Lepisosteus oculatus: one gene and its partner. Each later gene encodes a partner of the first gene's protein in a complex. Links are inferred from orthologs where the notes say so. Each region holds a gene or a part of one and is shown in the gene's direction. Other genes may lie near its edges.

What was found. Proteins that work in one complex are often made in the same cells at the same time.
Region 2: the proteins of aplnra (region 1) and apln are in contact, whole or in part, in a cryo-EM structure (PDB 8XZG), measured with the Homo sapiens proteins. The link is inferred for Lepisosteus oculatus from reciprocal best matches to the Homo sapiens genes APLNR and APLN. Residues at the interface, in NP_005152.1 of Homo sapiens: Tyr35, Phe78, Trp85, Tyr88, Thr89, Tyr93, Ser106, Ile109, Phe110, Met113, Pro163, Val164, Arg168, Gln180, Cys181, Tyr182, Met183, Tyr185, Glu194, Glu198, Leu201, Gly202, Ser205, Tyr264, Lys268, Tyr271, Ser275, Cys281, Asp284, Leu285; in NP_059109.3 of Homo sapiens: Arg66, Pro67, Arg68, Leu69, Ser70, His71, Lys72, Gly73, Pro74, Met75, Pro76, Phe77.

The regions. Positions count from the first base shown.
Region 1 is NC_090717.1:13,926,379-13,933,370, forward strand, and holds aplnra (apelin receptor A), read left to right. Parts: upstream 1-4,348; 5' UTR 4,349-4,483; coding exon 4,484-5,545; 3' UTR 5,546-6,482; downstream 6,483-6,992. UniProt on the Homo sapiens protein: G protein-coupled receptor for peptide hormones apelin (APLN) and apelin receptor early endogenous ligand (APELA/ELA), that plays a role in the regulation of normal cardiovascular function and fluid homeostasis.
Region 2 is NC_090703.1:50,476,084-50,483,856, reverse strand, and holds the start of apln (apelin), read left to right. Parts: upstream 1-4,768; 5' UTR 4,769-5,144; coding exon 5,145-5,211; intron 5,212-7,773. UniProt on the Homo sapiens protein: Peptide hormone that functions as endogenous ligand for the G-protein-coupled apelin receptor (APLNR/APJ), that plays a role in cadiovascular homeostasis. Functions as a balanced agonist activating both G(i) protein pathway and beta-arrestin pathway of APLNR.

The DNA.
Region 1 (6,992 bases):
AGACTGGGCCCCCCTACTCTTCAGCATTTACATGTTCCGACTCGGTCAGCTATTAAGATCACATGGTCTGAATGATCAGTTCTATGCTGATGATACTCGAATCTATGTCCATACTTAAACTGACATTGAAGTGGCTGTCCCTGCTCTGTCTAAATGCATCTCTGACATAAAAACCTGGATGACTCAAAACTTCTTTAACTTAAACTGTGACAAGACTGAAGTCATGCTGCTCTGCACCTATCATCAATTATGTAAAGCTAATGCAGTAACATTGTCTGTGGATGGTACTGTATATGAATTTCAATCTAAACTGAAGAATGTGGAGGTGATATTTGATCCAGGGCTTGATTTTTGACCCATATGTGCAAAATATTGTAAAAACATTTTTCTTCCATCACAGATATATCACCAAGCTACATCCTATGTTGCCTTTGACTGTTACTGAAAAGCTAATCAGCACATACAGTATGGTTCTTTCTGAATGAATTACTGCAACACCCTTCTCACTGGGGTATCTAAAGCTACACTGAGAAAACTTCAGTATGTCCAGAATTCGGCAGTCAAATTTCTCAGCACCTGTTTGACTTATCTTCCTGCTCCCAACATTGCAACCTTCATTCGTTGGACTCGTCTGACGTCTGACAGGGCCTCTTGCTAAACGCCAGAGCTCTAAAATTCTGCCCCCAATGATATCAAAGAGTCAGAGTCCGAGCGCTTTCAAATCCTGAGCCAAAACCTTCTTCTTCAGAAGGGCTTTTTTCTAATTGGCTCTGTGTCTGCCCCATGCATCTAATTCTGCATTTTAAATCCTTGTTTTTGATTGTGCTAATTTTTTTCCCACTTTTCCTTGTTAACTTTTATTCTGGCTGTAAAAGGGCTTTAAAGATGCTCTATAAAATAAATTATTAATATGATCTACCTAAATGTCCCCTTTATTTCCCTTTCTAAAGTACTTTTTGATACTTCAATGAATCTGTTGTGTAGTGGAGCTGCTGTACATCACCCAGTTAGGGTGCTGCTCTTCAGTAGTAGAGGTAGTGACTCACTGCTACAGTATTTTAGTAAACACATTATTCACAAATTGATAATGAAAAATTCCCTTGTTTACGTTCTTAATCCCTTTCATTACCATGGATGTCTGTCTTGACTGTTCTCACTCTTCCATTTCCAAGTTTCGTTTAGAAGGTAATTTTCAACAAAACGATGAGAAAATTCCATAAAAACGGAGGCTGTTGCTGACAAACGGAGACGAGCTTTCTGTAGCTCCCTCTTGTGGTGCCGGTGAGACCTGCAGAAGCAGAACAGGGTTTAGCGATGAGGGTTTTGAACCACAGACTCTGCAAATCGCTTCTCAAAGTGAGACATTGGAAGAGCCGTTGCAGAATATTGTTGCTCCTGAACTCCTTTGTTTTATATGCCTTAAATGTGTAGGACACTAAAACGTGACAAACCAAGTTTGGCAAACGGCAAAACATAAATACGATGCAGGCAAAGTTAATAAAAAGGGCAAACTGATACTTACCCAACTTGCCGATTATAGCTATAGCTTGTTTTAACGTTTTATCTTTTATAGAATACATATTTTCTAATGTGGGCATTAAGCTGCAAAACGCTCGAAGGTGGGAGACGCTCATGAAATTACTTCACACTGCTCGCCGGGACAGCAAAGATTTCCTGAAGAAATCAGCTCAGAGCTCAGCGCGTTATGTAAGAACACCGCTCTCAGGCTGACGCCTGAAGACAGTCATGAAAATAAGACACTATTCTCTTGAAATGGGCCCAATTAAATACAGTAGTAGTAAAACGTGTCGTGTTTTTTACGTGATGTTAAAAACGATCAAATACGCGACTCGAGAGAATGTATATCAAATCCTCCTCTACAGCTTAAGGAGAGCAGCTACATGCACGCCCGTGTCTCACTAAGAACCGTTACTTGATATATTTACACACTTGCAAAAAATCGAAGTAGTTTCAGAATCCGCTGGTGTATTTTATGTTCTGCAATCTTGTACTTCATATAGTGTGTCGTTTGTACCGGGATATAATGAAAAGTGATTATCTAGGACGGTATACAGAGATGTCCCTCACTTAAAAGCACCCGACAACCTTCAGTTTCGAAGGTACTGTATTCTGCTCTGACCTTTTTCGTTGCATGTTAAACATAAACTGAAGCTCTAAAATGACAATAAGACAAGGTATTATTTTTCATTAAATCATAAGCACCATCAATCATTTTATGAATTGTTTTGTTTTTCATTACACCCACCTCCTGTCTCTATAGACATTTTGGTTTTGGCAGTCTGCTTCACAGAAAAGAAGAGGCAGGCCATGTAGCATTTTCAGTGCTGATATGAGGTCTCAAACTCAGAACATTCGGTGATCCTCAGTCATCATCAGTAGGACACGACAGTAAATAAACGAACTGGGCTCCCCTGTTGATTGGCGATTAAGATAATCAAAGGCAGTCAAACCGCTCTTCACCTGGGCGCTCTTTGTCTTTTGTTTAATTAATCTCGAGACTTGAAAATTAAATCAAGTCCGGACCAATCCCGTTATTTAAAGCAATTGAGTTGTCACAAAATATACCATGAATTATTTACATTTCTATTAATGGACGTTAACGTTCTTACTTATTATCTCTTACGTAGTCTTATGGGTGGACAGAATGTAGTGATATATAGAGTTCACATCCTTTTACAGAAAAGAAAACCTGTAGAAAATTGTGTAACACGCGCGGATTATGCCATTTATAGGTTTTATTTAGAAAGCTGGGGTGAGAATTCATCAATTTCCCTGCTTCCAATCCGTTATTAAGGTTCTCATTGAGAATTGGGGTGTTTCTATAGCAATACACAGGTAATCTACAGGTTATTTTCCTAAAGGTACTGAGAAAGTCCGTTTCTATCAATCCATTTTATATCAAAAGTAGATCGATGCTGAATTTCAGGGGTGAATGACAGTCGTCCCTTTTCATGTGGAAAGCGCTTTGAGATCAGTTGAGATGAAAAGCGCTATATACAGTACACGTAAATAATTATTATAGTAAATGTGATTTAATTAGAAGTGTTGTTACTGATTTCAGCTGTCGGCCTCCCATCTTGTTTTTTTTTCTAAAAGAAAACTTTAGAAGCGGAAAGTCATAAGTGCCCGTGTCTGCTTGTTTTTATAGATCTCCAGTTTAGTTCAATCTAACGCATTAAAACCCAACACTTCATATGCAAAGCAAAAGCAGGAAAGAACTTGAATACATGTGAGAAATTCAGAGACATATCTTAATTCTGTTTGTTCCCCATTTCTAACACCTGAAATACGATGCGCTTTTGGTATTTGAAGGTATGGGCACAAGCGGACAGCCGCGTGTCCTGTAGACTGACGACCAATGTTTTTCTCATTCGATATTAAATGCTTTTACTTTTTCATTTTAACGAATGCTTGCATAATTAAAATATTGCATCGATTCCCGACATCTGTTACGTGTGACAACGACACGGCAGTTCACACCTCCCGTCTCCGCGTTTGTCTTTCCAGTCAGGCTCCTCTTGCTCGCTCAAGGTGTCGCTCGTTTGTCGACTTGCTCTGGCAGGCTCTCGTTTCCAATAAAACTACAGTAATGCGGCTATTTAAAAAAAAAAGTTTGTTTTTCTCGAGAGATCGCTGGCTACCAGAAAGCCGCAGTCGTCTGCCTGTTTTTATTTCTTCTGCCAGCTGCGCAGAACTGTAATTAGACACGAATTGTTGAAATAAGGATCTTTTGCCACGGCTGAAAAAACAGGAAACTTCCAGTGTAGTGGGGGATAGCGCATCCCAGCAGACACCCTCTTAAACTTTCATACGCAGGAATGCCCTTTCTTTCTCGAATCCTGGTGCTCATATTTTCATTTGTTATTTGGTTATATGCTTGCTTGCTTTATTGCAGCAGACGGAAAGAAAAAAAGACAGTTAATAAAGCATCCGGGCATGATACATTTTTATATGAACTGATTCTGTCTGACATCAGCGCGCGTGTGCTCGAGTATTAAACGGGATAGCTAATGGGTCATATCTGAGGCTTTAATTGGCCTTTGAACAGCATCTCTTAAGTTGGTTTTTTTTCTGTTAAAATCTGTCGTGCTGAGGTTGCCCGTCTCTCGTTTTGCGCTTGTGCGATGACCGTCCACTTCTCGCACAGGGCGGAGACCACAAGCGGCCCCAACTGCGCGCCGGCTGGGTGGGAGAGATAATGTATCTTTCCCCCGCGACTGTGTGGCTGGGCGGGGGAGAGGGGAGAAGTGATTGATGGCACGATTAGGGGGCGTTTTAGACCTGTCCTGAGAGGGAAGGGGGGAGTGGAAGACACAGAGTTTAAATAGCAGCCCACAGCGCAAGGCAGACACATATTGACTGGAGTTTCCAGAGGTTGCGCTCTCTCACTCTCTCTCTGGAGCCGAGGGCATTTTTTTTCCTTACTTGAGCTGAGGCTGAAGGCGTGGATTTCTACCCAGAAATGGAAGAGGATTATGACTACTACGAGGACAACGAGACCATGTGTGATTACTCAGAGTGGGAGCCCTCCTTCTCCCTCATCCCAGTGCTGTACATGCTGATTTTCATCCTGGGGCTGTCCGGGAACGGAGTGGTGATCTTCACCGTGTGGAAGTCCAAATCCAAGCGCAGGGCGGCCGACATTTACATCGGCAACCTGGCGCTGGCAGACCTGACCTTTGTGATCACCCTGCCCCTGTGGGCAGTGTACACCGCCATGGGCTACGATTGGCTGTTCGGGGTGGCCCTGTGCAAGATCAGCAGCTACGTGGTGCTGGTGAACATGTACGCCAGCGTCTTCTGCCTCACCTGCCTGAGCTTTGACCGCTACCTGGCCATCGTGCACTCGCTGTCCAGCACCAACCTGCGGTCCCGGCCCACCATGATCACCTCGCTGGGCGTCATCTGGCTGCTGTCCGGGGTCCTGGCCGTGCCCACGCTGCTGTTCCGCACCACCCTGCAGGACGAGGCCAACAAGACCTCCTGCGGCATGGACTTCAGTCTGGTGACCCTGAACCGGGAGCATGAGTCCCTGTGGATCGCGGGCCTGAGCCTCTCCTCCTCCTTCCTGGGCTTCCTGCTGCCCTTCCTGCTCATGACCGTCTTCTACTGCTTCATCGGCAGCACCGTCACCCGTCACTTCAACAACCTCCGCAAGGAGGACCAGAAGAAGCAGCGGCTGCTCAAGATCATCACCACCCTGGTGGTGGTCTTTGCCCTCTGCTGGACCCCCTTCCACGTGCTGAAGAGCCTGGATGCCCTCATCTACCTGAAGGTGCTTCCCCAGACCTGCGCCCTGCTGAGCGTCCTGCTGCATGCTCACCCATACACCACCTGCCTGGCCTACGTCAACAGCTGCCTCAACCCCTTCCTCTACGCCTTCTTCGACCTGCGCTTCCGCTCGCAGTGCCTGTGCCTGCTCAACCTGAAGAAGGCCATGCACGGCCAGATGAGCTCGCTGTCGTCCACCCTCAGCGCGCAGACCCAGAAGTCCGAGGTCCAGTCGCTGGCCACCAAGGTGTAGGGAGCCCCGCTCGTGGGGCGACAGACTGTGTGCACGGAGCCGGCGCGCAGATTCCCGGACTGAGATCACCTTCCCCCCACTGTGGGAGAAAGGACTTTGAAAAACTGAAAACCCGGTCTGCTCGCTGGGCTGTAACACTTGGAAAACCCGATGTGTGGACTTGTTCTGTTATTGGGGTAACCCCACGCGCTTATACCTGGGCTACAAGGGGTTCCCCCAACAAACAACGCTGGGGCCAGCTGGCTGTGCCTCCAGCTGCTTGCGTTGTACAAATTTTTGAAAGAGGTAAATGTGTTTCAAAGACTTGTTTTTTTCTGGCTTGCCTTTTTTTAAAAAAAGAGTACATGCTGTAAATTGCTGTAAAGAATTCAACCAGGGCTGAATTCTGGACAGGAGGAGTGAGATGAGAGGGAGGTCATAAGTTGTTGGCAGTGAAGTTTCAGCCTGGTCACACTGGGAAAGAAAAAATGTCCCGAGTGTTTTCCATGTTTTTTTGTGCTCTGTTGCTGTCGTACTGTTTCCTTAGCACTTGTTTAAAAGAGGAAAGATTGTGCAACCCATTCTCCACTTTTGCTAATCTGTGCTAATGAGGGAAAGGGGCCAGAGGCTGGTGAGTGTGATTAGAAGGAAGGTGTTGCAGTTGAATTAACATGTCGGACGACAGAGGTGGTCGGGCAGGCAGATGGCTGTTGCCAAATGTTTTTCCGGGAGGGGGAGCAGAGGTCTAGGAGGTGATGGCTATGAATTGACTTGAATGCACTGTTGTAACATGACTTTGGAGCTGGGGTGACTTATCATCTGTAAGTGGCTTTTGCTGTGAATGTCTCAGAAATTAAGGATTTGTATTATGGATTGTATGTTTTTGCCTGTAACTAACTACTGTATCTGGATGCTTTTTAGCATTTCCTATTTGTAAATAAAAAGTGTTTTTAAAATATTCCTCTTAACTTTCTTCAATCCCCGCTGGTCGTGTGAATGTTGTGTTGCTGTGTCTCTTCCCACACTTGCTCATTTGTGCAGTTGTTTCAGTTCTTGAAGACGAGAGGAACCGAGCGGCCTGCTGCTTTAAAAAAAGCACAGGGAAAATAATGACTGCAGTTCTTTTGGGATATTGAGCTTTTCCAGGAAATTCTTTTTCTTGGCTGAGTTAAAGCAAGGGTGTCTCAGCAAGCCCGCCAGGCACGTTAAAAATGCACTATAAAGGAATTAGAAAAAGAAGCAGAGTCTGGTCTCTAACTTTTAAACATCTGCCTGCAGCAATGTGGTCAAGCAGATGTCAATAATTCCCCAGACATTATGTGTTTTTTGCCAGAATATGAAGAAAGTGACAGGTGGGCTTGAATCTTAAGGTAGAATAGTTGACTTAATACTGGAAAAATGGGGCAGAGTTCACACTACTGTTAGAGTGGAAAGTTATAGGACCCTTTTAATAGATATTACATCACTT
Region 2 (7,773 bases), on another chromosome or scaffold:
GTCTCTGATTCCTGAAATTTGTCAAATGAAGCAAGAGAAGAAAATACCCAGAGGGCTGCACTAATTTCAGCCCTGCTGCAAAAGGCCCTCTCTTTAAATTCCAGTGCCTTCAAGCACACCCAGAGAAATGCACGACAGACAATACAAGAGGTTTAAGTCCAGATATTACCTGTTTGACGTAGGCATCTTTCAAGGTGTTCTGAAGCAGATGCACATCAGGCTTTATTTAATCATTAAGGGAAAGGTTGTTTAAAACACAAACAGTATTAATTGCATATTAAAAATTAATGGCCGATTGCTTCCTTTTGTTTTAAGGTGCTTGACTCACAGGGTAAAATTGCAAACAGATGTGTTGCAGGAAACAAACATACTTACTGTATCACTCCAAATATAAGAAGAAAAACAGAGGAAGTTTAGCAAAGTATGAAGCAAAAGCCCGCTAATGTCTTCCCATTATCACACGTGAATTTCTTGGGGGAAAACAACACTTTGTTTTCCAGATCTAAATTTTGACTTCAGCTGTCCAGCAAAGGACAAGTTTCAAACTATTAATAAAGCCCCAATTCAGGAAGAGTTCACTTCACAGAGACAATAAAAACTCTTTAAGTGGCCACCGGCGAGAGGATGGTTTGCGTCGTCAAGCTCACAAAACGGATATCTTGCTGGAATTCTTTTATCGGCCCTTTTCCTGTAAACTTCAAGAGCTTCCTGCAGGGGGGCAGCTGTCGAGGAAATGCAGCGTGTGCCCGCTGATCATGTCCGGCGTGGGGCGGCCGGGCAGCTCTTCCATCCCTCAGAACGGGTCGCCCTGCGCTTCCGAAAGGAACGCACTTATCCAGCTGTACCAGAAAAATAAGCAAACCAAAGAAACCCAGTCGAGGCCGCGGAAGAGAGAAGAAAAAGCAAAAGCACAGAAATCAGAACCAGAGGTCACATGGCTATTCGACCCACTGGACTGCCAGGGCATTAAGTTAAATTACAGCTCACAACTGGCAACCCACTGAAGCCCAGCAGGTGTGAGCCTGGTCAGTACCTGGATGGGAGACCTTCTGGGAAAAACTAAGGTTGCTGCTGGAAGAGGTGTCAGTGGGGCCACTAGGGGGCGCTCGCCCTGCGGTGCATGTGGGTCCTAATGCCCCAGTATAGTGACGGAGACACAATACTGTAAACAGGCGCCGTCCTTTAGATGAGACGTAAAACCGAGGTCCTGACTCTCTGTGGTCATTAAAAATCCCAGGGTGTTTCTCAAAAAGAGTAGGGGTGTAACCCCGGCGTCCTGGCCAAATTTCCCATTGGCCCTTACCAATCATGGCCTCCTAATAATCCCCCTCTATGAATTGGCTCCATCACTCTGCTCTCCTCCCCACTGATAGCTGATGTGTGATGAGTGTTCTGGCGCACTATGGCTGCCGTCGCATCATCCAGATGGATGCTGCACATTGGTGGTGGTGGAGGGGATCCCCATGACCTGTAAAGCACTTTGAGTGGAGTGTCGAGAAAAGCGCTATATAAGTGTAAGCAATTATTATTATTATTATTATTATTATTACTATTACTATAATAAGTTTAACAACACAGTCTAGCAGCTTGGTCTCACCTCTCTTTGTGCAATAAAGAAACACATCGGCAAACTCTCCGCCAACTACCTGTCAAGGGTAGGGCACATCCTCATGCTCCACATGGTACTGGTGCCCTGCCAATGCCACGATGTTGGCTGGGTCTCTGGGCACTCCCTGCAAAGCCACGCAGACCCTGCTGTCTCGTCAATCCCCGTCTCCCAGGGCCTCCTTCACAGGGCACAGGCGTGAGGCTCTGAAGGTGGGAGCCCCTACAAGATGGGCGAGCCGGAGCTCACAGTCCGGAACCGTGAGACGCCCCACTGCAGCCCTTGCTCTGGGCCCATGTGCATGCACGCGTGGTCTCCTTACAGAGGGACACCGCCAAGGGCTTGTGGTGGAGCAGTCTCCAGCGGTATCACAGACTCCCGCCATGCACACACTTTGCCAGGGGAGACAATCCTGGAAACACACTCAGCTAGGTCACTGTTATCACTAACACGTCTCCATCCCTTTCACCCTTCTCACATTTAGCACTTGTCTGTCCACACCCTACTGGTGTACAGCCCTTCTCCTACGGAGGCCATGTGAGTTTAAACAGAAACCTCATGGTCTGTGCAGCTGTGTCACTTTGTAGGGGGGGCGGCCATCTTTACAGCACGACTTCTAAAGCCACTGAAGGGGAAGTCAGGTCCTCAGGGGTCAGAAATGACTTGTTGCTTCAGCACCATTGCATCGCACACACTGTCATTGTTAGTGACACTGAAATGTGCTTAATTTGATTACCTCCCCTTGCAATACGTAAGTGTTTTAACTTTATTACTCAACACTCTCACAATTATTGCCTGGGTATCGTGATGGTTCCTGACTCAATCATTATAAAATTCAACAACAAATGTCGATAAGCTAACTGGATAATGCAGATAGGTGGCTTAACAGTCATTCATTTCAGACGAGTCTCGGCACTAAGGAGGAAACCTGTTCAAGCGACACGATGAAGCGCAATGCAGTCAAGGAGACCCACACGGAGACTGAAAGGCTTGGGTGCATTTTGAAAAACAAACTGACTAAAAAGCAAAGACAAGGTAAAGGATTGCTTGACAGAATCTTCAAAAAGGGTTGGCTTCTCCCAGCGCAGAGCAATGAATCATCTTCCCTAGAAAACACCGCAGAGAGTGACATTCAGCGCATCTCTTTAACGCTGCTTGGCACATCTCCTGGCAAAATAAAAGAGCCATGTAGATAAGAATCAGTAGACAGCATCTCAGTGACCCCTGAGGCTAATTGATTAGGCACTGAAGTGGGCGAAAAAGGTTGTAAGGTACTCCTGTTCTTCATTTTCAAGTGGGTGCCAGGTCCATGTATATGTTAGCCTCCAGACACGTCACAATGCCCTCTCTGACAGGTGGAAACAAGGGCAGCACAACCCAGCCACCCTTTAGCTAGCATGTGAGCCCGGCGAGCAGGAGCTGGACTATCTGGGGTTGTGGCCAGGCACAGTGCAGTCATCCGGTTTTACTTCTTGCATTCAGAAGCCGGGCCACCGGGGAGATCCCTCAGACTGCAGAGGGTGCAGGGGTCCTTGCGTCTTGCCTTCCCGATCACGAAGAAGCACCTTCTTTCTTGTCTCACAGCGCAAAACGCAGACCAATTCGCAGTGGCCGAGCCTGCAGTCGTAGCGAGCACAGGCAATTCTCCCGACTAGATCGTCTCCTCCCGTGGTTTGTCCACACCTTGCACACGCATGTGAGATCCGACACACTGCTGCTTCCTCTCCTAAACCGGAGTGAACTCAAACCAACACGCATGAAGTACACCAGCATTGTTTTCTCTGCATTCCTGTTGAACGCAGTCAGAACACGTTGCTTCTCATCTGAACTGTTAACCCTTTTATTCGCTTGAGGAGTTCAAATATTCACGCAGGCCTATTGATTAACTCACAGTAAAAGGAGACAAGGGATTTTACAGCATTTACAGTCGCTCTGTAATGCTTTGCACGTGTACTTGTTGAAGTTCACTGACACAAGAAGTTGAACTTTATTATTAGTACCAGCATAGCACAGCAGTTGAAATGCTGTTTCTTTTCTTTTCATTAAGCAATGGGGTAGTTTTTCATGCTGTCTGGCACTGATATATTTCTTAGGCTCAAAGTCTATATATGTTTCAGAGTGTCCTGAGACACAGCACAGCAAAATGTACCCAAACTCAATTTACATTATTACAACTGTGCAGACAGTACCTTCACCAGGCTGTTGCTTCTAGTGTTTTTATTCAATTGAGGCACATTTATAGTTCAATGACCTGTGACTATTGTAATCTGTGTGATTTATATACAAATGATTGCACTGCTAGGCTGGCTCATGTAAACCTCCAACATCGGTCGCAGAGTAAAGGTGATGTGGACTTGCTGTTCTTGATGTTGTTGTTCAAAACAGTTTTCCCTTTTTCTCCAATGGATGCTGAAAAGATCTATTTTTCTGAATAAATAGTCGTGTATTTTCAAATTCGATTAAAAAAATTCAGTCAAGGAAAATATTTCAAAACCAAATTCTGGAGGAGAAAAAGAAACGGGTTAAACTTGTGCACAGGAGTAGATTATTCTGCTCTGCAAAGCTACATTTCTGAAAGATTGTAAAATTTTGAAGATACAAATCTAATTTTAGTCCAGAAAAAAAACTTTGAATATCATGCCTTTACTATTTAAGTTTTCAATCCAGGGGAATTTGTGCAGAGTTCTGAAGTTTGTCAGCTGTTTCCCTACAGTTGGCTCTGTGGCAGGAGGGTTAATAACTTTCAAGTATTTATTTCATACAATTTGTCAAAGGAAACAAGGCTGGGGGGCAGGAGGGAGAACTGGGATAGAGACTTGTTCTGTGCAGATGGGAAAGAGACAAAAGGAAAATAACTTTTTCTCTCCCTCTCTGCTCCCTCGCTCCCGCTTCACCTTAATTTTTGGATTCCTAGTTCCCAAAAAGAACTGGAAATGTCTTTTTAACAAGACCCTGTTTTGTTATTATAATAACCCCGAACACCACTCACTCACTCACGATCTCTCCCCCTCTCTCTCCCTCTCCCCCTGTCTCTGTGTCCTCTGTGGGAGGGTCGATTAGGTGGGGGGGTAACAGGGAGGCCCCTTTTCCGTGACCCAGAGAGTCAATGATACATAAGCCACATGACCGACTGGGCTTCTTATTCAAGGCAAACAGCTCACATACAAAAACCTGCTGCAGGCTGCTGCTCCACACATTCACAGCTCTGCTGAACTTGGCACCAGCAGCCTTTCTCTAACAGAAACACACCTCCTCAGGAGAGCTCAGACTGAGACGTGCCTTCAGTCTCGGCGTGGCGCTGTCAGGCTTGCACACAGATATATAAATACATTACAAATACATATATAGATAGAGGTCTGGACGAGTGTTCACACACACACACACTCATACATATTCGCACACACAGTCTCCCCTCAGGAGAGAACACTCCCTCTCCCTCTCTCTCTCTCTCACACACACACACGCGCACACACGCACACGCGCGCACGCTGCACTATATCAGCTACTGACTAACGGAGTGCCAGAGGGAAGTGCAGAAATGAATGTGAAGATCCTGACACTGGTGATTGTGCTGTTGGTGTCTCTGCTGTGCTCTGCCAGTGCCGGTAAGTCAGGGAGCTCTGGATGTTGCGTTCAGGCTCTCTAGAATTCTTTCTCTCCTCCTGACAGCACAGGCTCAGCCAGGCATCTGTAGTTAATCCACTACATAACCGGTTAGTCCTCAGTGTTTCGAACCCTGAGAGTATTAGCACCTGGTCAAGGGCTGTACTGCAGTGCAGTGGTTCTCTAGTTTCTGTTGTTGTGGCTTGTTTGTTTTATTTGATCAACTTGAATGGGCATCGATTGCTTTGTTATTATAACTTGCTTATCTCACAGATAAAATGCTTCTGTTCAGACTGAGAGGTTTAATCTCTGCATGGGGCTGCTCCTCTGTTGGCAATATACTGACATTAATAGAACAAAATTGCTCTGAGTACCTCCAAGCTTGTCAGAGAACATGTAGGTATTATTTATGTGTATTTATATATAATGAGCATGTTATATACATTTATGTGTGTGTATATTGACATTTTATAAAATCACACCCTAGTATTCAATTGCCACTCTGGTGCCAAAGAAGTCTTTCTGGGTGGACATGTTTTTATTTGCATATGAGCAGAAGACTGAATGTTTTCCATTATGAGTAGAAGCTGACTTTTAAACCATGGTGAATGAAATTTGACGGCTTTGTCACACAGAGAAGCACAGTATGGTGTCACTGCAGATCAGATGGACCACGATCGCGGTTAAGGTTGACTCATGTAATACACACATGCACTCACACACAAAGGTGCGAATGTAAATCATAAAATTGCATTCAGTGAGAGTCATGCACCAGGCTGGGGGCACTTTCTTGATTTGCAAAAGCTGTTGCACTGACATGCAGGAGTGCATTTTAGGAAATCAGATGGTTTGGAAGGATACAGTTTGCTGAAGCAAGATCCAGGCTGTGAGAGCAAAGCACAGTAACAGTTTAGTGTAAAAATGAGCAAGGGAGATACGGTAAATTCCTAGATTATTGCCAGTAATGACACCCTTGTACTAATGGGCAGTGAGTGGTATGTGTGGGTACACATGCATTTTAGGCATCGCTTCAAGAAATATTTATCCATGCTTGCACGCATGCATTATACCCACACAATACCATTTCTATTTTTACATGACTCAATGGGAAATGACCAGCCTACATTAAGGTGTCATTTTACATGCCCTAGGGTGGCACCATTAGGCACAGAACACTACAGGATGTTAGACAGAGGCGGGAGAAGTGCAGTTTAGTGCAAAGCAGGAATATGTTGCTTGTTGCAGGTTGAGCTTCCGTTCCTCTGTGCCAGTGCATGCCACTTGCAATGTTAACTCCATTGAAAGAATACTGAGCGTCACTGAAGCTTACATCTGTCTGTGCTAAACATGCATCTGATGTCTGCTGTCGAGGGAAGGTGTTAAGAGAGGCTCGGCGTGTAGGCAGTGGGTGTGAAGTCTTTCATCTTTAGATCAATGCTCTGAGTTCATTCCTAGTTTGCTAGAAATTTCAAGCTATTTCAGTCATTTGTGTGAGCGGCTTCATGATTTTTATGGTTTTAGTCCTCTTGCTACTGAAGACACTGAGCCACTAATGCAACAGGCTGTAGCAGTCGGGCTCAGTGTACCCTGCGACAGGAGAGGGTGCTGAAGGGATCTGTGCAGAATAACTCAGTAGTGCCAGAAAAGAATGAAGCACTCGTGCCTTTGTGCTTCTTCCTGATTCTTCTGGCCTTTAAGCAATGGGCTCTGTGTGTGAAGGTCTGTTTAAATTACCTGTGCTTGGTAACTGAGCAGACAGTCTCCAAGGTGTGCTGTATGGGCTTGTGCCTCATTGATCCCCTATCGATCAGCTACATCTGAGGCTGGACTGAAATGCCAGTGGGAATAGTAGCATCCAGCCTGCCCCTGACTGATACTGTACCTAGGGCACCTCTGCTTCCTCTCTTCTGTCACTTTGCACTGAAACAGCATAAATCCCTCAACACGCAATGAGCAGAAAGGATCAGAACAGAGAAACAGAAAAGCCTGAAAGGTCTAATTTTAGCTGTCTGGGTGACTTTCTATGTGCAGCCCCCATTAAACAGGTGAGTTATCTAAAGCGAAGATTACTCACCTGTTTAATGGCTAGACCCTGGCTAGAGTTCATGAAAGCTTGTGCGTGTAAAAGGGCCAATTTCATGCAAGCTGTCAACGTTGCTTTTATTTTGTATTAAACTTTGATGTATTGTTGCGTAGGCTCTCACACCAGCATGGATGTTTCAGACACACTGCCATACGTTCTGGGTCAAGAAGAGCCACAGGCAGGCCGGCACAATAAATACGGGCCCCGTTAAGGAAGCTGCAGGCAGGCAATGTTTCTTTTCAAAGATCACTGGGATATTTTGTTAATCCACATCAATGGACCTTTCTTAGAAGTACACAGAAGCTATTAAGTCATGATTCCAGCACGTTGAGTGCACTTGCTTAACGGGAAGAAAGTCTGTGGGTCTACAATCAAGATCATAGGGGTCATAAAAAGAAAAATCAGGCCTCTCTTGTAATATATTGTAATAACAGGATGATAGACAAAAGCCGTGCAGAAGGCCTGTGCAGCTATTACAGGA